Oryctolagus cuniculus: one gene and its partner. The protein of the gene in region 1 interacts with the protein of each later gene in a pairwise test. Links are inferred from orthologs where the notes say so. Each region holds a gene or a part of one and is shown in the gene's direction. Other genes may lie near its edges.

Region 1 (10,385 bases):
TGTTGTTGGGTTTAATTAGCTAGTATTTTGTGGGGGATATTTGCATCTGTGTTCATCAGTGATATTGGTCTATAGTTCTCTTTCTTTCTTGTATCTTTTTCTGCTTTTGGAATTAGGGTGATGCTAGCCTCATACAAGTTTGGGAGGATTCCCTCCCTGTCAATTGTTCTGGATAGCTTAAGAATTACATTAGTTCTTCTTTAAAATCTGGTAGAATTCATCAGTAAAGCCATCTGGTCCTGGGCTTTTCTTTGTTGGGAGGGTCTCTATCACTGATTCAATCTCTTAGTTAATGATCTGTTTAGGTTTTCTATGTCTTCATGATTCAGTTTTGGTAGACTGTATACGTCCAGGAATCTATCCATTTCTTCTAGGTTTTCCAATTTGTTGGTATATAGCCATTTATAATAATTCCTGAGCATTCTTTTAATTTCTGTGGTATCCATTGTTACATCCTCATTTTCATCTCTGATTTTTTTTTGGGGTCTCTTAGTTGGGCCAATGGTGTATTCATTTGGTTTATTTTTTCAAAATGACAGCTCTTCATTTCACTGATCTATTGAAAATTTTTTTTGTTTCAATGTTTATTCTCTAATTTTATTTATTTTCTCCTACTAAATTTGGGTTTGATGTTGTCTTCCTAGGTCCTTGAGACTCATTGATAGCTAATTTATTTGATGCCTTTACAATTTCTTGATGTAGGCACCAATTGCTATAAACTTCTCTCAACACTGCTTTTGCTGTTTCCCATAAGTTCTGATATGTTGTATTGTCATCTTCATTGATTTCCAGGAATATTTTGATTTCCTTTTTATTTATTCTGTGAACCATTGTTCATTCAGGAGCATGTTGTTCAAGCTGCATGTGTTTGCATATTTTCTAGAGATTCTTAAGTTATTAATTTCCAGCTTCATTCCACTGTTATCAGAAAAGATGCATGGTATGATTTTGAGTTTTTGAATTTGCTATCACTTGCTTTATGGGCTAGCATGTGGTCTACCCTAGAGAAAGTTCCAGGCACTGATAAAAAGAATATGTATTCTTCAACTGTGCGAAGAAACATACTGTAGCTATCATTTAGATCCAGTTGGTACATAGTATAGATTAGCTCTGTTTTTCCTTTGTTGATTTTCTATCTAGTTGATCAGTCCATTGATTAAAGGGGGCTATTAAAGTCCCCCATTATTATTGGAGTCTATGTTTCCCTTTAGATCCATTAACATCTGTTTTAAATAGCCAAGTACTCTGGTATTGGGTGCACAGACATTATAGACACATATTCCCGTTGAACTGATCCCTTAATCATTACATAATGCCCTTGTCTCTTTTGATGATTTTTGTGTTAAAGTCCATTTTGTCTGATATTAGGATGGCTACCCCAGCTCTTTTTTGCTTTCCATCGGCATGGACTCTTTTTCCATCCTTTCACTTTCAGTCTGCATGTATCTTTGTTGGTGAAGTATGTTTCAGCCAGTCTGTATCCTTTTTTAAAAAAGTTATTTTTCAATTTATCAGTGATCTTTATTTTTTAAAAAGATTTATTTGAAAGTCAGAGGCAGAGACAGGGAGGGAGGGAGGGAGAAATCTTCCATCTACTGGTTCACTCCCAAATGGCCACAATGGCCAGAGCTGAGCTGATCTGAAGCCAGGAGACAGGAACTTCCTCCAGGTCTCCCACAAGAGTGCAGGGGCCCAGCACTTGGGCCATCTTCTACTGCTTTCCCAGGCCATAGCTGGGAGCTCAATCAAAAGTGGAGCAGCTGGGGCTCGAACCAGTGCCCATCTGGGATGCCAGCACTGCAGGCAGTGGCTTTACTTGCTACCCCAAAGTGGTGGCTCCAGGTCCCAATATTATATTAAAGACTTTATATGATGGGGCTGGCACTGTGGCACAGCGGGTACCCTTACAATCCAACTTCCTGCTATGGCCTGGGAAAGCAGTAGATGGCCCAGTTCCTTGGACCCCTGCACCTGTGTGGGAGACCTGGAAGAAGCTCCTGACTCCAGATCAGCTCAGCTCCAGCCACTGCAGCCAATTGGGGGGTGAACCAGCAGATGAAAGACCCCTCTCTCTCTCTCCCTCTCCTTCTCTCTCTGTGTAACTCTTTCAAATAAATAAATCTTTAAAATTAAAAAAAGACTATGACAAACCCATAGCAAACATTATACAATGGGGGAAAACTGGAAGTGTTTCCTAAGATCTAGAAAAGGCAAAGCTGTCTACTCTCTTATAGTACTGGAAGTTTTTCCCAGAGCAATTAGGTAAGGGAAAGAGGGCCTGCACATAGGAAGGGAGAAGTTGAATTATCTGTTTGCAGATGATATGATTCTACATGCAAAAAACCCTAGACTACCAAGACTATTAGAGTTCACAAATTCACTAAAGAAAAAATACACATAAAAAAACAGAACCAATAATGAACTTGCTAAGAAATTATACACACAGCCCCATTCACAGTAGCCACACACACACACCACAGAATGAATTTACCAGGACGTGAAAAACCTCTACAATGAAAATTATAAAGCACTAATTTTAGAAATTGAAAAAGGCACAAGAAAATAAAATAAAAAAAAAAACCTCCTTTGTTCATGGGTTGGAAAAAGTGTTTAAAATGTCGGTTATGCAAAGCAATTTTACAGATAAAATGCAATCCTCACTCTTGCAGTAGCACTCCTCATAGAAAAAAAACCCTATAATTCTCTCAGAAAAACAATAGACTGAAGAGCCAAGGCAAGCTTCAGCAGCAACACTGGAAGCATTACGATGCCTGATTTCAAGACAGATGACAGAGCTACAGGAACCAGAGAGCACGGTACTGGCGTGAGAACACACACACAAATGGGACAGAACAAACGACAGCCTCTGCTATTAATGGTGCTGGGACAACTGGATATCCACATGCAGAGAGCTGAAACTTGACACATGCACACAACCCACCTCTCAATCACTATAAAAATCAACTCAAAATGGACCAAAGAACTGAAAGTATTAAGTTACTGGAAGAAAACATGGTGAAAGTATTTCAAGACTACAATATAAGCAATGCTTTTGGAGGTAAAATTCCAAATGCTCGGGCAAAATTAAGGCAAAGACAGACAAGTGGGATTCCATCAAACGAGGAAGCTCTGCGCAGCAAAGGAAACAATCAGTGTTGTGAGGACACAACCGACAGAATGACAAAGAATATTTGCAAACTCTTCATCTGACAAAGGAGTAATATCCAGAATACGTAAGGAACAAAAAACTTAACAAAAAAAGTGCAATTTAAAAATAGGCAAAGGATCTAAAGACAGTTCTCAAAAAAGTAAACACAGATGGCCCACAAATAGAGGAAAAAGTGCATGGTCATTAGCAGGGAAATGCACATCCTAACAATGAGGTGTCGTATCGCCCCAGCTAGAACAGCTATGAATGCTAGCAGTATGCAGACGAGAGGGAACTGGGACACACTGCTGCAAACTCGCAATCTTCAAGCAGTGCAGGAGGCTCCAGCCATCTGGCTGCTGACATGTAGCTGAAGACAATGACATCGGCACGTGAGATACTGCACTCCCACGCTGACTGCAGCACTATTCACAACAGCAGACACGAATCAACCTCGCTGCCCAGAGACGGGTGAATGGTTTAGAAAATGCATGGTGTATGCACAATGGAGTATTATTCAGCCACAAAAAGGGGAAGTTGTGTCATCTGCAGAAAAACGCACAGAACCAGGGGCTACTAAGTGAAGTACCCCATGTCCTCCCCAACACGTAGAAGCTAAGCGGAGGAGTTGACCCGGATGTAAGGTCATGGTTCCGAGGCTGTGACCTGGGAAGGTCGGTGACAGGTAGCAGAACAGTGACGGAGGATGCAGTTCTGGTGTTGCTCAGGAGCACGACTGCAGGGACCAGGAACTACGAGGAAGGAGGCCCAGAGGGAGCAATGAGGGTATGTCACAAGGGTGACAAACAGGGACAGTTTCAGGTCCTACTCCATGAACCTGTTGTGTCTGCAGACTAGGAGCATGACCTGGGAAAGGCATCTTCTAATGACTTTCCAATCCCAGACGCTGGGCACAGGGTCTCCCACAGGGAATGTCATTGCCTTGGTGTCGGGGGCTAGGCACGGACCTGCTCCGTGCACAAGCACTCAGTAAGCTATTAAGTACAACATGGTATCTATCCCACACACCACGGCTTCTACAGGCTGAAGTCATCAACTGACATCAAAGTTTCTTGTGAAATAGCAGGTATTTGACAGTAAGTCGTTTTCTCATTTAATGACATTCATGTTTTTCAGCTATCGAATTATTATAAATGATATGTAGGACAACAGATACAAAGCACTACATTTTAAAGGTATTCATTAAACCTCAGAGGTGGTTTTACTTCAACTGAGTATTGGCAACGTCGTGAAAAAAGTCACATTACCCTGATTAGCAAGATCGGTAACAACTGTAACGAGCAACTTCACTTATTCACAAGAGACTTTTATTGGTTTTCAAAAAGCAATGTTATTTTAAGGTACAGTTTATAAACAGTAGTCATATCCTGATTTTTGCCAACATGAAAACGTGTTCCTCTCAGGAGTTCATGGACTACAGCACACATGTGGCAGACACAGGAGTCCTGGCGAGCAGGGAGCCAGTGACCAGGGAGAGTAGCAGAATGTGCCCAGCCTCCCTCCCTGGTTGGCTGAGGCCTCCACCCACCCACCCACCCACCCACCGCAGGGCTGTGCGCTCTCCTCCCATCCCTCCAGCAGCTGGTTTCTCAGCGTCTGCAGTTCCGCTTTCCTGAAGGTGCAATCCCACTCACATTCCGCCTGCACACTTCTCAGTCACCTACCAAACATGCAGAGCCCGATATGCACTAGAGCTTTCCGAAGGTCAAGTACACGCTAACAAAGTCATTCATTACACCTACATTTTCTTGATTTTAACGATTTGTTCGAAAGATTTCTGCCTTCATTAAAAATTTATACTCAGGTAAATAAAAATATGATGGTCATAATGTTTGCTGTAGCCAGCTGTAGCATAGAGGTTGCTGAGCTAGAAACACACTTGGGCGGGAGCTGTCCAGTGTTATTTAGCCTTAAGAAAATGCCAGCAGAAGGAATGGGATACAGGCACAATACTCCGTCTCCAGCCGTTACACTGAACTGTGCATATCCTCCAATTCTGTTCTATCCCAGGTACTTGTATCACTGCAAAGATGTCGCACTACGCAGAAACGCGGCAGGCAGCCTGGGCTTCTGCATCGTGGGAGGGTATGAAGAACACAGCGGAAACAAGCCTTTCTTTATCAAATCCGTGGTGGAAGGCACACCAGCGTACAACGATGGAAGGATCAGGTAATAAAGACAACTGCTGCACAGAGAGCTTACATTCAGGTCCTTTGCTTCAGACACACAATACTGGCCCCATCTGAAATAAGGGCTCTTCCTTTTGAGGGGAAGGGTGGGCAAGAAAATAAAACACTTGCACAGCATTTAACATAAAACACCCCGATGATCGATCGCACGTGCTCTCGGCCCTACACTGCAGGTCGCTCTACCTTGAGCACCCCTTTTAACACAAGCGGAATGACTAGCATGCTTAAAGAATCTAAGGGGGGGGGAGACCCTTAAGTAATCAAAACCAAACAAATCTAGCAGAAATGAGGCCACCAAAATCAATCTGCATAAACTTCAGCTAAGAAACCAAACATCCCTCCTGCTGCCTTGTTCAGGTGCGGTGACATTCTCCTCGCAGTCAACGGCAGGAGCACAGCAGGAATGACGCACGCCTGCTTGGCTCGAATGCTGAAGGAACTCAAAGGAAGAATCACCCTCACTCTGGTGTCCTGGCCTGGCACATTCTTGTAGCATCAATAACGGGTCAGAGAACATGACACACGGGCTAAGCTGGAACAATGTATTTATCTTGTCAATTTTTATAGTGAACGAAAACTTTGTGAAAATGTCAGAGAAGGCCTAATCTAATAAAGCCAATTGCACCTCAGAAAATAGGACTCTCAAAAAATAAAAACTACTACAGAATGGTCTGATCTAGGATGCAGCACTGCACTGTACTCCTTCATTTGTATTTTGTGCTCAATAAAACGCTCTCGAGCACCTGAAATGGTTTGTTAGGGCCCACCGAATTCAAATCATCAACTCAAATGCTGGTTCAGGCTGAGATCAGCAAAGGGTACGTTACGGGCATTTTTAATTTAAAGCAAGAGGATTTTGAAAAATGCATTCATTGCTAAAAACATTCAGCAAATGAGAAATAAATATTTTTCCACAAACCATAGCCGCCTTTTGTATGTGATGCTAATTCTAAGTTTCCTTCTGTCAGCACTATTTCAAAGAGCCGGCAATCTGCTCTTTCAAATACCAGGTCATCTGTTTATGTGACTGGAGAATCATCTCTGAGGGTTATCCCTGAAAGTGCTCACGGAATTATAAACTTGGGCTTTCATGGCTCAATAAGAATTGGCGTTCAGCTGTCCTCACAACGTAACTAGTAACTGTCAGGAACTGCACGTGCAGCTCCACCAATGAGCCTGGGAAAATGCACCAAGGAGGGCCACCCCAGCCGGCGTGAGGGGATCCAAGCTGGTCACAATGATCCGTGTTGGAACATGAGCCTGCTGGGAACCACACCAGAGCAAGTGGCTTCAGAGGCCACCCAAATGCCTTCCACCTGCGTAATTTACATATAAAACCGCCCATCCAGCTTCCCCATGAGCCCCAATCTAGCACAGTGAGATCCTGCCATCAAAAAGCCGGGGTGGGTGGCATTTAGCCTATTAGTGAAGACATCAGTTGGGACACACATGTCCCACAGTGGAGTACCTGGGTTCACTACCTGCCTCCTGCTCCTGGTTCCAACTTCCTGCTAACACTGGGAGGCAGCAGATGATGGCTCAACGGCTCAAGTAGTTGGGTTCCTGCTACCCCCATGGGAGACCTGAATCGAATTCCTGGTTCCCAGCTTCAGCTTGGTCCAGTCCAGGCTGTTGCAGGGATTAAATCAGCAGATGGGAGCTTGCTGTATCTGTCTCCCCCAACCCAAAAAACAAAAACCCAGACACAAAACAAAGCCGTGTAAAAGCAAACACGTGCATGAGTCGTTGACCGTGCGCAGCAGGAACAGGAATGCCACAGCAGTGAAGACAGACTCAAGAGGGGCCTCCTGATGCCTTCTGCAGTGCAGCCTCTGATGAGACTGCTGATTGCCAGGACGACCGTGGCCGAGGTGCGGCCTGACCTGTCTCGGACACTGTGCGTACCACAGGCACGGTGCTCCTGAACCCCTAACGTGATTCACTCGCAGTACTTCCCTAGATGTAAAGCACGGCTGCTATTCGATTTTTAAATACTACATGACAAGCATCTTTAACTTAACATGAAAAATCGACTTTTATTTTGGAAAAAAAGTTAACTTTTCATACTAACAGAACAAGATTAAAGGTGAATTTCTTAAACATTATCCAGAAAAATAACAAGATTTACAATATCTAGTTCCGGCACTGCTGCAGACACGAGGCCCCGCCCACGCCTACTCTGCGGGTGCCGCCTCGGTGCTCTCCTGCTCGGGGGCGGGCTCACTGCCGGCCTCCTTCCCTTCTTTGCTTCTTTTAGATTTTTTGTGTTTGTGCCTCCTGTGACTGTCTCCTTCTTCACTCTCATGGCGACGTCTACTGTTACTGAAAAACAAACAAACAAACAAAAAACAATGTACTGTTTAAAAACCCTTAAGTACACACTTTGTGATAAAAATCAGCCACTCTGATTCTCAACACAACACCTGGACTTCAAATAATCTAACCCATTCTTTTCTTGTCTCATAAAGACACGGAGGAACCACATCAGTTTGAATGTGACTCTGATGCAGAATCACATTCCAGGGCCACCTTACCAATACCACCTCAGAGTCCCAGCGCCGCGTTCTCTGTTGTACATGGCTAACTACAAACAGGGAACCGAAGCACTCCGTCAGCACAGAAGGCATTTTATATAAATAGGCCTTAGAATTTAGTGCTGGTTTTTTGTTGCTCATGTTGTTTTTGGAGACTGCAAGCCCCAAATTTTCTTTAACTGAACCAAACACTGCTATTTACTATTTACTACTAAAGACGGATTCATACGCCAAAATTTCCTCTCAATGAGATTATGTTGTAAGCAAATATCTCTCATACATGATTTTTTTCCTCCACATTACTTCTGGTTTTGGGACATTAAATGTAGTTTTGCTAGAGTTAAAATCTTTGTTGAAGCTTGCAAGGAACCACAGATTATTCTGAATCTTCCAAATAGAAACACATCCGTTCTATGGGCCATCTGTAAACATTTGCTCTCATGGCTAAAATCCAATCAGCTTCTCTCTCAGCCTCACGACTCGACTCAGGAGCAAACCTTCGAGAGGACTTGTGTCTGCTCTCCTCCTTCTCCCTGTGCCGTCTCTCTCTGTGCCGCTCCTCTTTCTCCCGACTCGCTCTGTGCCGCTCATACCCTCTCTCGGCATATTCTCTGTATCTGTATCGCTCTTCGTCACTGAAATTGGAATAGAAACAAGTTTCTTGACAACTGAACTGTAATTCTGAATAACTTCAAGCTTTCATAAAGATCCTGAAGTTCAAACCAGAAGCCTCCATATATCAGAACCTTGGAGAATAGATGGGAAATATTTCTTGAGTTAACAGTACACAAGGCTTGTTCCAAAATTAGTACTGGATAGAATATAAGAAAACAAAATATACAGTAAGAGCACATGATGTTAAATGACCAATTGTGTTCTGCGTTAGCACACTTGTCAGGGACAGAGCTTTTATATAACAATGCTTTTAAAAATGCTCTCGAGGGGAGGGCGCTGTGACGCAGCAAGCTGAGCCGTGACCTGCAATACCAGCATCCGCTCTACGTGCCAGTTTGTGTCCCGGCAGCTCCACGTCAGATCCGGCTCTCTGCTAATAACCTGGCAAAGCAGTGTAAGATGGCCCAAGTGCTAGGTCTCCCACGTGGGAGACCCAGCTCCAGGCTGCTGGCTTCAGCTTGGCCCAGGGCTTGCTGCTACAGCGACCTGGCAGTGAGCGCACCAGTGAATGAGATCTGTCTCTGCGTCTCCCTCTCACTCTTTCAAATAATTAAATAAATTTTAAAAAGAAAATTATTTTGAGAAACTCTCTGTGGGAGAGAAAAGGAAGCTGGAGTCAGGTGCTCTGATATGAGAATGTGGGCATCTTAAGCTCTAAGCTAAACGCCCACCCCTGCTTTGCTTTTTTATTTGTTTTTTAAAGACTTATTCATTTGAAAGGCAGGCTTAGAAAAAAAGAAACAGAAGAGAGATCTTGTATCCACTGGTTCACTCCCCAAAAAGCCAGGAGGTTCAACCAGGTCTCCTATGTGGGTGCAGGGACCCAAGCACTTGGGCCATCTTCCACTGCTTTCTCAGGTGCATAGCAGGGAGCCGGATCAGAAGTGGAGTAGCCAGGATTTGAACTGCTGCCCATATGGGATGTTGGAGATGCAGACAGCAGCTTAACTGGCTGTGCCACAATGCTACACCCCAAACCCTCTAAAATTTACTTATTTACTTGCAAGGCAGAGCTACAGAGAGAGGGGGGGAAAGACAGATTTTTATGGGGGGGGGCAGAAATGGGTTCTGTAACTTATTTAAAATATAATCAGCAGCTTCGTCTTCATTTGCTTCTCTACCATTAAAAGCACGTTTGTATATCTCAGATTTCTAACCAAAATTCGTATATTAGTCATGAATCTTGGGCACACAGTTATGATTCCAAGGACATATGGCTCAGAGTACCTACGAGTTAGAAAGCAGCTAAAAGTTCTTAAACCTTGTTTATTAACTACAGAAAGACAACACATACATATAGAATATGAAAGAGAGACATGGATAGGACTTCCAAAACAGCCATACAAAATACGCAGACTGTACATACTCCAGAATCCTAATCACTAAAACATCCTGTACTTGTGCGCGGGGGAGCAGGGGCCACGGCCCCAAGGCATGCATGTCAGCTGCAGCTCTGCTTCCTCATTTTGGGCGGAATCACGCGCACTGCTGAAGCTGGGCTGACAGCTAGGGTCAGAGGTGGTCTTCCCTGGCCTCCTAGACCTGTCTTCCTCCCGGGTCCTCTCAGTGAGATCCCTGGAGCTTCCTTTTAAGCAAGCACTTAGCAAATCAATCAGCATACTCCACAACCTTGTGTCTGTCAATTTTCTCACACAGAAGTCTCTTCTGGAAGACTGTCTGCTAAGGAGCTTCAGTCTCTGAAACTCGCCTCACATAGACTGTATCAGTGATCTGCATGAGGTATCAAGACGTTCAATCCGAGTGGGAGCAACAGACAGGCAGGAGAGAGCACAAGCACAAAGGGACAGGCCCGCCCAG
Region 2 (10,385 bases), on another chromosome or scaffold:
TTGAGCCAGTAAGGCATTCACCCTCTGTTGGGGGTTCTGTATGCTTCAGGAGCACATTCAAAATTCAGTCCATTTTCATGTTCACCTCTTTTACTTTCCATTGGATTGTTTTAGGTGCCCCTGTGTATACACATGGGTTTTCTCAGCCAAGCTTATGTGGAGAGCTTGCTCTCTATCAGGTTTCCAGTGTCTACTCTCAGCCCCCCAAATAGCTGGCATTTTGCCGAGTTTAGGTCTCTCTTGCAGATGTGTGTGGCTTTGTATTCAGCCAGAGTTGTGTGGAAGGCATAGGACCTTGCCTCAGTATCTGTCAGAATTATCAAGGCCCTATGTGGCTCTCCTGTTTGCAGAATCTGACTGTTAAATTTCTATCTAGTCCTCAGGTTTGCCACCTCAGCTGGCACAGCAATCACAGGCTAAGAGGGCTGCAGGCTTTTTTGTTTCCCATTGAGTATGAACTTTTTTCTCTGCTTGGCATCAGAGTAGTCCCCTTTGACCTTGAAACTGCTGGTTTTCACAGCCAACCTCACCGTGATGGAACTTCCTTGTCAATGGAATTGGGGTTGTGGGGGATGGGTGCAGTTCCTGGCAGGATATGAGATTTCTATGGCTCTTATCAAGAAGTTTTGTTGGCTGGCACTGCGGCTCACTTGGCTAATCCTCCGCCTGTGGTGCAGGTACCCTGGGTTCTAGTCCCGGTTGGGGCGCCGGATTCTGTCCCTGTTGCCCCTCTTCCAATCCAGCTCTCTGCTGTGGCCTGGGAGTAAGTACAGTGGAGGATGGCCCAAGTGCTGGGGCCCTGCACCCACATGGGAGACCAGGAGGAAGCACCTGGCTCCTGGCTTCCGTTCGCCGGCTGTAGCGGCCATTTGGGAGGGTGAACCAACAGAGAAGGAAGACCCCCCCCCCCACGCCTGTCCAAAAAAAAAAAAAAAAAAAAAAAAAAAAGAAGTTTTGCTATTTTTCATTAAAAATCTCATCTTAAAAGTGGTTTGTTGTTGTTTTTTTTTTGTTGTTTGTTTGTTTTTTTTTTTTTTTTGCCTTTGGTTGGTTTCCAGACTATAGAAATGGTTGTTTTGGATGGTTTTATCCAATTTCGCAAATTTTTTTTGAGGATAAGATTTTTTTTTTTTTTTGAAATGTCATCCGTGCAGCTCTAACAAATACTGTGGCTTTGGCTTTTAATTCTTTCTTTTTAAAGTCTTATTTATTTATTTATTTATTTAAGGTGGAGTGGAAAAAGGGAGAGATAACTTCTAACTGTTGGTTTACTCCCTGAATACCTGTGACAGACAGGGCTGGGCCAGGTTGAAGTTAGGAACTGGGAACTCTCTCTGGGTTTACTACATGATTTACAGGAACTCAAGTACTTGAGCCATTGCCTGCTGCCTCCGGCTCCAGGAAGCTGGATCAGAAGTGGAGGCATTGTGATATGGGATGTAGGTGCCCCAGGCAGCCACTTAACTGTTGTGCCACAGCACCTGCCCTGGGGTTGAGATTTTGTACTCCCTCAGTGGAAGTCCAAATAGAGAACTTGGATTTTAAACCCTAGGATTAGTATTTTTCACAGTCCAGTGCTCTTTACTCTAATCCATACTTCCTTGTAGGGATAGTTAACTGATCTGATTTTCTTGTTTGTTTGTTTTAAATATTGTCAACTTTTTTAAGATTTTTTTTTTTATTTGAGAGGTAGAGTTACAGAGAGAAAGAGGAAGAGACAGAGAGAGGCCTTCCATCCTCTGGTTCACCCCTTAAAAGGCTGCAATCTCTGGAGCTAGGCTAATCTGAAGCCAGGAGCCAGGAGCCAGGAGTTTCTGCCCGATCTCCCATGTGGGTGCAGGGGCCCAAGGACTTGGGCCATCTTCCACTGTTTCCCAGGCCATAAGCAGAGAGCTGGATTGGAAGAGCAAGAGCTGGGACATGAACCCCAGCCCAAATGGGATGCTGGCACTGCAGGTGGAGGCTTAGTCTACTATGCCACAGTGTCGGCCTCTCATTTTTTGTTGTTATTGTTGTTGTTTCTTGAAGAGATGACAGAGGGCTAGATGGATGAGTCTTGGTTCAAGTGTTAGGTTCCCACAAAGGGTAAGACTTTTAATTCTGAATAGGTATATTTGCAAACTCAAATTGAGATGATTTGAAAGATTTGGTGGCTCTTTGGAGAGTAGATGCGTTGTTTCTTCAGAATAAGCCAACTGTTTTTGAGTGTGCTTTTCCTATGATTTTCCTTGTTTCATAATGTTGAAATGTGCAGGTACCAGATTCATGGAAAAATGGAATTAAAAGATAAATTTATTTTGTTCCAAAAATTTTTGAAATCCATCCATCCATAATCGTTTCATGATATTTTTGGTGAACTTTTTGAAGATCCCCTTCATAAATACTGTAATTAGGATCATTTTACAGATAAAGAAATCAGTTCTCAGGTTAGGATCTTAACCATCTGTTAGCATTAGTATGAGGATGATATTTTAACCTGTTTCTTCTGGCTTCTCTTTGTTCTTTGTACTCCATATAATTGTTTCTCTATCATATCATAATTACTTGTAGAATCTTGATGATATAAATGTTTATTTTTATAGTAGTACTTGAGGTTAGACTAATTCAAAACAATCTTCCTGCATTTTTACTAAGGGCTGAAATTCTTTTCTTTCCATTGATACTCACAGTTAATCGGGAGCCCCTGTTTATTTAGGTAGTTTTAGCAAACTGGTAAGAGTCAGAAGAAAAGATATCCCCATGGCAGCTTCCTCTGCCAGCTTCCTTTTTTTTTCTTACTCCATAGATGCAGATTCTGCCCAAGAAGCCCCTGCATTGCAGAGGGACTGGAGATCTGTATGATCTGTTTATTTCGCAATTGACAAGGGTAAGGGGGTTTTTTTGGGGGCGGCGCTTGGGTGCCCTGACTTTAGCTTTATGCAGCTGGGCTAACATTTATTTTGGGATTACTTAAACTTAGTATTTTAAAAAACCCTTTTATGAATTCTCTTTGCCCTACATTAGTTAAGTGCCAGATTATAATGTTAAAAAGCATTTATTATAATGGTGGTTTTTTTTTTGTTTGTTTTTAAAGTCCTGTTCAGAAAAAGATAAAGATGATTATGTTCTAAAATTGCAAATCTGGGAACATTAGATTATTAATAATATTGAATATATGAGGGTACTAAAAAAGTTTGTGCAAAAATAGTATTAAAAGATAAGTTTATGTTGGTGCCAAGGAATTGAAATCCATGAGTAATTTTTTTATCTTACACATTTTCCCTGAACATTTTGAAGACCCTATATATTGCACAGATTTCAAAATTTTTTGTACCAAAATAAACTTGTCTTTTAATTCCATTTCCACGAAGTTTTTGAAGTACCTTGGTATGTAAGTTTAGTATCACATAAATAAAAATTTAAGAAAAAGATTTTGGATATATGGCTGTATCTATAACATGTCATAGTTATTCTTTATTAAATCACTTTGTTCCTGTTCCATAAATCTATCAATTTAGAGTGAAAAAGGACTTGTGGTTATGCTATAAACATTGTGGGTGGCCAGGGTGTCTTTTCCTTGCTGCTAGAAATTAATACTTCCTGAATTCTTTGTCTATCCTAGATTTCAATGACATTTGAGTTATATCTTCAGCCTATGTTATATCTTGATCCTTAGGCTAAGTGTACAAGTGTAGTTGGTCAGTCTTATTGAAGCAAAGGTAAAGTTTTGTGGGTTTCATTTGGCAGGCTTACAGAACAAATGCCAGAAATGTTGGCATTTATGATGAAAGGATTAAAATAGATGAGGAAGACTTTAATGCTTTTAAGATCCTGGAAGGATTGGGCAGATGATGGTAGCGTTTGGTGGATAGTTGACGAGACTTGAATTGGTGATGGTCTGATGGACTTTTTATTTTTGAAGGTACTATTATACTTGATAGTCACATAACTTTTTTTTATCTAAAGAAATAGTGTACATTTCTGTAATTTTCTTCAGTATTTTTAGTATTCTGTACATCTCATATTTTAAAGTTGTGTTCTTTAAACATTTAATTTATAGTTTTTTAAAAAAATTCAACAGTAATATATGTTATTCTTACCACTATTAATAAATATTCCACTTTCTAGTGCTAAGATTTTTGCAAAGCTGTTTCTATTCTTAAACATCCAGAATGACTGTTTTGCCTTTTTTTTTTTTTTTTTTTTTCTGTTTTCTTTAAGCCATAAGGATGAGTTTACCATTATTCCTGTACTGGTTGGAGCTCTGAGTGAGTCAAAAGAACAGGAATTCGGAAAACTCTTCAGTAAATATCTAGCGGATCCTAGTAATCTCTTTGTGGTTTCTTCTGATTTCTGCCATTGGGGTAAGTTCTAGACTTTAATGTATCATGGTAGATTATATACTTGTGCTTTAAGGTATCTTTTCATTCTAAACGCTGATTGTCAGTCTTTATCACTTTCCTTGGAAAGTTTACTTTTAGCAGCAGTGTTTAGAAGTGAATGAAAAAGTCTTTTGATCATTAAAAAGGATCAGATTATAATAGTGGATTATGGATACATTTCCAAAGGCGACTGGTATAATTGGATTCACACTGTGAGGGTATCCTTGCTTAGAACTGTTCTTAGTGGGAGTTAAGACCTTTTAACCCCATTTTCAGGTAGGTATGTGTGGTAGGTCCTCTGAAGGTAGTTTTGGTGGATGAAACAAATGCTCTTCTTTAGAATGCAGAAGAGCACTGTGTGCTATGCCAGTCCTTTTCTGCTTTTCCTTTTTTGTAATTAGTCTTTCTTTCTTTCTTTTTTTCCTTCGGTGCTTATTTTTTGCTCACAATTGCCATCAGTTTAGAGCTACCCTCCAAAGATTGTAACACGTTGGCTATTAGCACTGTGGTCTTCATTGGTAATGCTTTATAAGGGTAAGGACTCTTAAGTGATTTTTGTGATTATTGTGAATTGAGAGAGTAAGGACGCTTCACAGTGAATAAATCAAGAAGGAAGTGAGAAATTTTTGGATGACTTTGTCAGTAGATTTTATTTTAGCTTTCTTTGGATAAATTTTGCTCTCATTTATCTATTAATGTCCTAGAATATTTCTGAGTTCTGTTCCTCTTAAGACGCCTCTTTGACCCGTTTATTCCTTGGTTCATTGGTTCAAGGATGCCAACATCTGTTTAGTCATCACTTATTTCTTTGATTATTGTAGGAAACATAGGACGTCAGACCATCAGTTCCAAGATAGAATGCTAGGATGGCCAAAATAACATCCTCAGTATTGGGAGCCTTGCCTTTTTTAATGTATTTTACGCATTGATTGCCTGAATTGATTTCAACATTTGTCTGGCTACTTTATGGTAGCTTCTTCCTTCTTCTCCCTTTGAATGCTTCTTAGTGTTGAGATATCAGTTCAAGAGGACTTTAGTCCGTAATGATATACGTAAAGCTTTTGTAAGGTACTGATCCTCAAAAAGGATTAATTCACCTCCTAGGCAGTTTATGAAAATACTTCAAAGACACTTTTGATTTTCACAGCAGGGATGGGATTTGGAAAGTGGCAATACTACTGATGTCTAGGGAAACTAGACTAGAGTCTAGGGAAACTGCTAACTATACATCCTGCAATGCACAGGACTACCCTCAACATCAAAGACTTACTTGGCCCAAAATGTCATTAGTGCTGAGGGCAGGAAACCTAGATTTAGGATATGCAGGTGGCTGTTTTTCCTTCCTCAACTCCAGAGGAGCTCTCAGGATTTCTTAAGAACAAATTCTGTTGGTTAGTTGATGTGCTGCCTTTGGCAGAAAGTATTTTTTTATCTAGTCTATTACTTAAATATGAAGGCTGGGGAGATTCCTAAGAATTTCTGGATTCTGGAGAATTCAGGAGAATTTTGAAATTTAATAGTAGTTGTTTTTAAAAGTTGAGGAATATCATTGCTGAAAAAAGGGGCTGGTTTTCTTAGTGTTGTGAATTTGTGTTGGCAAAAAAGCATGTTCATGTCTTTTGGAGATTAAAATTCTTTAAGCAAGTGCCCCATCCTCAATTTTTAAGGCTCTTGTGAATCATTTGATGTAAGTAATTTGTTTCCTCTGATAATTGTTCTTCAGAATCTGAGTGCTTTCTCTAGGTTGGCAACATGTTTTGACTGTAACATAAATTCACATAAAACAACTGTAGGTGCCTTAATATTGTTATTTTCTGTGGAATCGTCCTTTTTATTTGACTAAAAAGTCTAAAGTAAGCAGTTCCCTAGTACCTACTGTATATAACTACAGTGGTTGAGAGATAAAGATTTTGTTTTATATTCTACCTAAAGCCTCAGAAAATTATTTAGGCTGTTTTGTCTTTAGATTTCTTGCAAATTTTAGTATTTAAATTGTAAGATAGGATTTCCACTTGATAATTAAGGAAAAGAGCTCAAAATTTCCAAATGTTGATACATGATATAATACTCATAGATTAAAATCTGTTTATATAAGGGCACTTCAAAAAGTTTGTAGAGAACTGTAATTAAGTTAAGTTTACTTTTTTGGAGTAGAAAATTTTGAAATACATACTTATGCAGGATCATTAAAAAGTTCATTATGAACAAAAACTGCATTTTTAAAATATTTATTTATTTGAAGGCAAGGTTACAGAGAGAGAGAGATAGAGAGAGATCGATATTCCATCTGCTGGTTTACTCCCCAAATGGCCACAGTGTCTGAGGCTAGGCCAGGCTGAATCCCAGAGCCTCTTCCAGGTCTCCTCCTGGGCCCAGGCTCTTGGGCCATCCTGCTGCTTTCCTTGGAGCATCAGCAGACAGCTGGATCAGAAGTAGAGCAGCCAGGACTTAAACTGGCACCCTGTAAGGTAGCCTGTTAAGCATTAGAGGCAACTGCTTAGCCTGGTGTGCCACAATGCTGGCCTCAGTACATGGGTTTTAAATTTCTTTTGCCCCAAAATAAATTTATGTTTCAGTTCAATTTTTCTACAACCTGGTGGTTACTTAGTGTTACTTAATGGCCTGTTACTTATAGAACATTTCCAAGTATTCACTTTTTGGTATCACCATCATTAACAATACTCACAGTTACGGAAAGCACCGTGCTACTTCTTTCTCACTGACAAATTTGATGGAGGTATGGGAGTAAGTGTAAAGTATGAGTAACGTGGATTGATTAAATTGATAGTCTCCTTACAATCCTAGAAATTATCATTTTTGTAAATTCAGGTTTATTTTCTCTTTTGTATATGTGTTGAAGTAATAATGAATCATTGGCTAGTTATAGGTGAAGCTGTTTTTTACCTAGGTCTCATGTTTCTCAAATTTGTATTGTAGTGTCATTGGATGTTCTTTCTGAATGAATAAAGAGTGCTATATTGACTGGCGCCACGGCTCAATAGGCTAATCCTTCCCGCCTGCGGCACCGGCACACCGGGTTCTAGTCCTGGTCGGGGCGCCGGATTCTGTTCTGGTTGCCCCTCTTCCAGGCCAGCTCTCTGCTGTGGCCCGGGAGTGCAATGGAGGATGGCCCAAGTCCTTGGGCCCTGCACCCCATGGGAGACCAGGAGAAGCACCTGGCTCCTGGCTTTGGATCAGCGCAGTGCGCTGGCCGCAGCAGCCATTGGAGGTGAACCAACAGCAAAAGGAAGACCTTTCTCTCTGTCTCTCTCTCTCACTGTCCACTCTGCCTGTCAAAAAAAAAAAAAAAAAAAAAAAAAAAAAAAAAAAGTGCTATATTACCATCTCAAAAATTTGGTGTTTTCTTTTGAAGATCAGTGACTTTTTCCTTCCTCTCCTCTTCTCTTCTCTTCTCTTCTCTTCTCTTCTCTTCTCTTCTCTTCTCTTCTCTTCTCTTCTCTTCTCTTCTCTTCTCTTCTCTTCTCTTCTCTTCTCTTCTCTTTTTTAAGGTTTATTTATTTATTTGAAAGGCAGAGTTACAGAGAGGTAGAGGCAGAGTCTTCTATCTACTGGTTCACTCCCCAAATGGCTGCAATGGCCATAAATGCACTGATCTGAAGCCAGGAGCCAGGAACTTCATCAGGGTCTCCCATGCGGGTTCAGAGGCCCAAGCACTTGGGCCATCTTCTACTGCTCTCCCAGGTAATAGCAGAGAGCTGGGTTGGAAGTGGAACAGCCCAGTCTTGCAATGGCACCCATATGGGATGCTGGCACTGCAGGTGGCGGCTTTACCCACTAAGCCACAGCGCCGGCCCCTCCTTCTTTCTTTTAAATTAGACAGTGTGCATTGATTTTTAGTATATAAAACCAGTTATAATGGATGAATCCCAAGTAATTTCACAGGAAGGATACACTTCCTTAAGAATAAAAAGACTAAAAAATTCAATGCGTTTGACTCTTAACACATGTCACATTTCTAAATATATGATTTAAAAAAGAAATCACTAAATTGATGACATTGCAATTTGACAGATTACACAGATATACACAATGAAAATTTCCTTGTTTTTATTCCATAAAATTAGATACTGGCATTGATTATAGTTTTCATTTCTAGTTATTGGTTCTTAAAAATAAAGTATAAAACTAATAATAGGGAGTTCTTTATGATAATCGGACATATTTTCCCTTGATCTTATTTATTAGTGTCCATTGTAAAAATGATATTTTAAAGTGTATTTTACTTTAAAGATGTTTTTCTTTCAGATCCTATGTAGCTTTTATTTAGACTGGTAAAGGAACAATTGAGAGATAAAACTAGGAGGATTATAATACTCTCTAGATTTTTGGGGGGGTTAAGGAGAGGGTGGGGGTAAGTGTGAGACAAGCTAAGGGAGAGACAGGAACCTAGATTCTATTATCTTCTAGAATTTGAGCTCCTCAAGGAAACTCTGGATTTCAGTTTCTGCCTTTTATCTTATCATTAGTCTTATACATATGGAAATGCATTAGTCATCATCATAGAATAATGTTTCTCAGTTGACATTTAGAATGAACCCACTTCGTTTTTTATGCTTCCTGCTATCAACAGGAAATGGAATAAATGAAGACCGTTGTTGCTAGTGTTTGGTTTTTGCCATGGTTAAATATGTTGTCTCCATACTTTCTATACTTACAAATTTTACATCCTGTAGGATGTTTCTGTATAGAATTTTGTTCAGACCTATTTTTTTTTTTAAAGATTTTTTTTTTTTTTTTGACAGGCAGAGTGGACAGCAGTGAGAGAGAGAGAGAGAGACAGAGAGAAAGGTCTTCCTTTTGCCATTGGTTCACCCTCCATGGCCGCCGCCGGCGGCGTGCTGCGGCTGGCACATCACGCTGATCCAAAGCCAGGAGCCAGGTGCTTTTCCTGGTCTCCCATGCAGGTGCAGGGCCCAAGGACTTGGGCCATCCTCTCCACTGCACTCCCTGGCCACAGCAGAGAGCTGGCCTGGAAGAGGGGCAACCGGGAAAGAATCCGGCGCCCCGACTGGGAATAGAACCCGGTGTGCCGGCGCCGCAAGGTGGAGGATTTGCCTATTGAGCCACGGCGCCGGCCCTAGACCTATTTTAATGTGTCTAATTAGTAGAATTCTGTTCTAATTTATTTTTTTAATTTATTTTTTAAACATTTATGTATTTATTTGAAAGAGTTACACAGAGAGAAAAGGAGAGGCAGAGAGAGAGAGAGGTCTTCCATTCATTGATTCACTCCCCAATTGGCTGCAATGGCCGGAGCTGCACCAATCTGAAGCCAGGAGCTTCCTCCGGGTCTCCCACGTGGGGCAGGGCCCCAAGGACTTGGACCATCTTCTACTGCTGTCCCAGGCCGCAGCAGAGAGCTGGATCAGAAGAGGAGCCGCGGGGCTTGAGTGGGCGCCCATATGATATGCCAACACTGTAGGCGGCGGCTTTACCAGCTATGCCACGGCACCAGCCCCTAAATTTTTATTTGAGAGTCAAACAGAAGCAGGGTGGGAGTCAGGGGGAAGAACGCCAAGTGAGTCAATGTGGGCACACACATGCACATATTCCCATCCTCTGGTTCACTCCCCAAATGGCGTGGGGGACAGGAACAGAATGATTTGAGCCAGCACCTCTACTTCCAGGATCTCTATTGACAGGAAGCTGGAGTCACGTGCGGGAGCTGGGCACTGAACCCAGGTACTCGATATGCAACACTGGCATCTTAACTGGTGTCCCCAACTGCTTGTGCTTGGCCAAACACATTCCCACCGAACTTTCAAGTTTTGGTTTTGATCTCCATATATACTGTTAATATTTGTATTTTCCTGATCTCCTTGAAGATTATGATTTAAGTTTAGTTTATTGATAGCTTTCATTTGTATACTTTTTCATTAACTTCTAAGGCATTTCTAAATGAAACTGGACCTAGTAGAAATTAATTGTATTTTTTTAAAGGATTTATTTGAAAGACAGAGTTATAGAGAGAGTGAGAGACAGAGAGAGAGAGAAATCTTCTGT

The links. The genes of interacting proteins can lie anywhere in the genome.
Region 2: the proteins of LNX1 (region 1) and MEMO1 interact in binary tests that used the Homo sapiens proteins (3 or more experiments, as listed by UniProt). The two-hybrid records come from large-scale screens. The link is inferred for Oryctolagus cuniculus from reciprocal best matches to the Homo sapiens genes LNX1 and MEMO1.

The regions. Positions count from the first base shown.
Region 1 is NC_091439.1:110,428,022-110,438,406, forward strand, and holds the end of LNX1 (E3 ubiquitin-protein ligase LNX), read left to right. Parts: intron 1-5,179; coding exon 5,180-5,338; intron 5,339-5,715; coding exon 5,716-5,851; 3' UTR 5,852-6,281; downstream 6,282-10,385. Other genes in the region: FIP1L1 (pre-mRNA 3'-end-processing factor FIP1), read right to left, coding at 7,533-7,680, 8,390-8,527.
Region 2 is NC_091433.1:170,926,290-170,936,674, forward strand, and holds part of MEMO1 (protein MEMO1), read left to right. Parts: intron 1-4,200; coding exon 4,201-4,343; intron 4,344-10,385. UniProt on the Homo sapiens protein: May control cell migration by relaying extracellular chemotactic signals to the microtubule cytoskeleton. Mediator of ERBB2 signaling.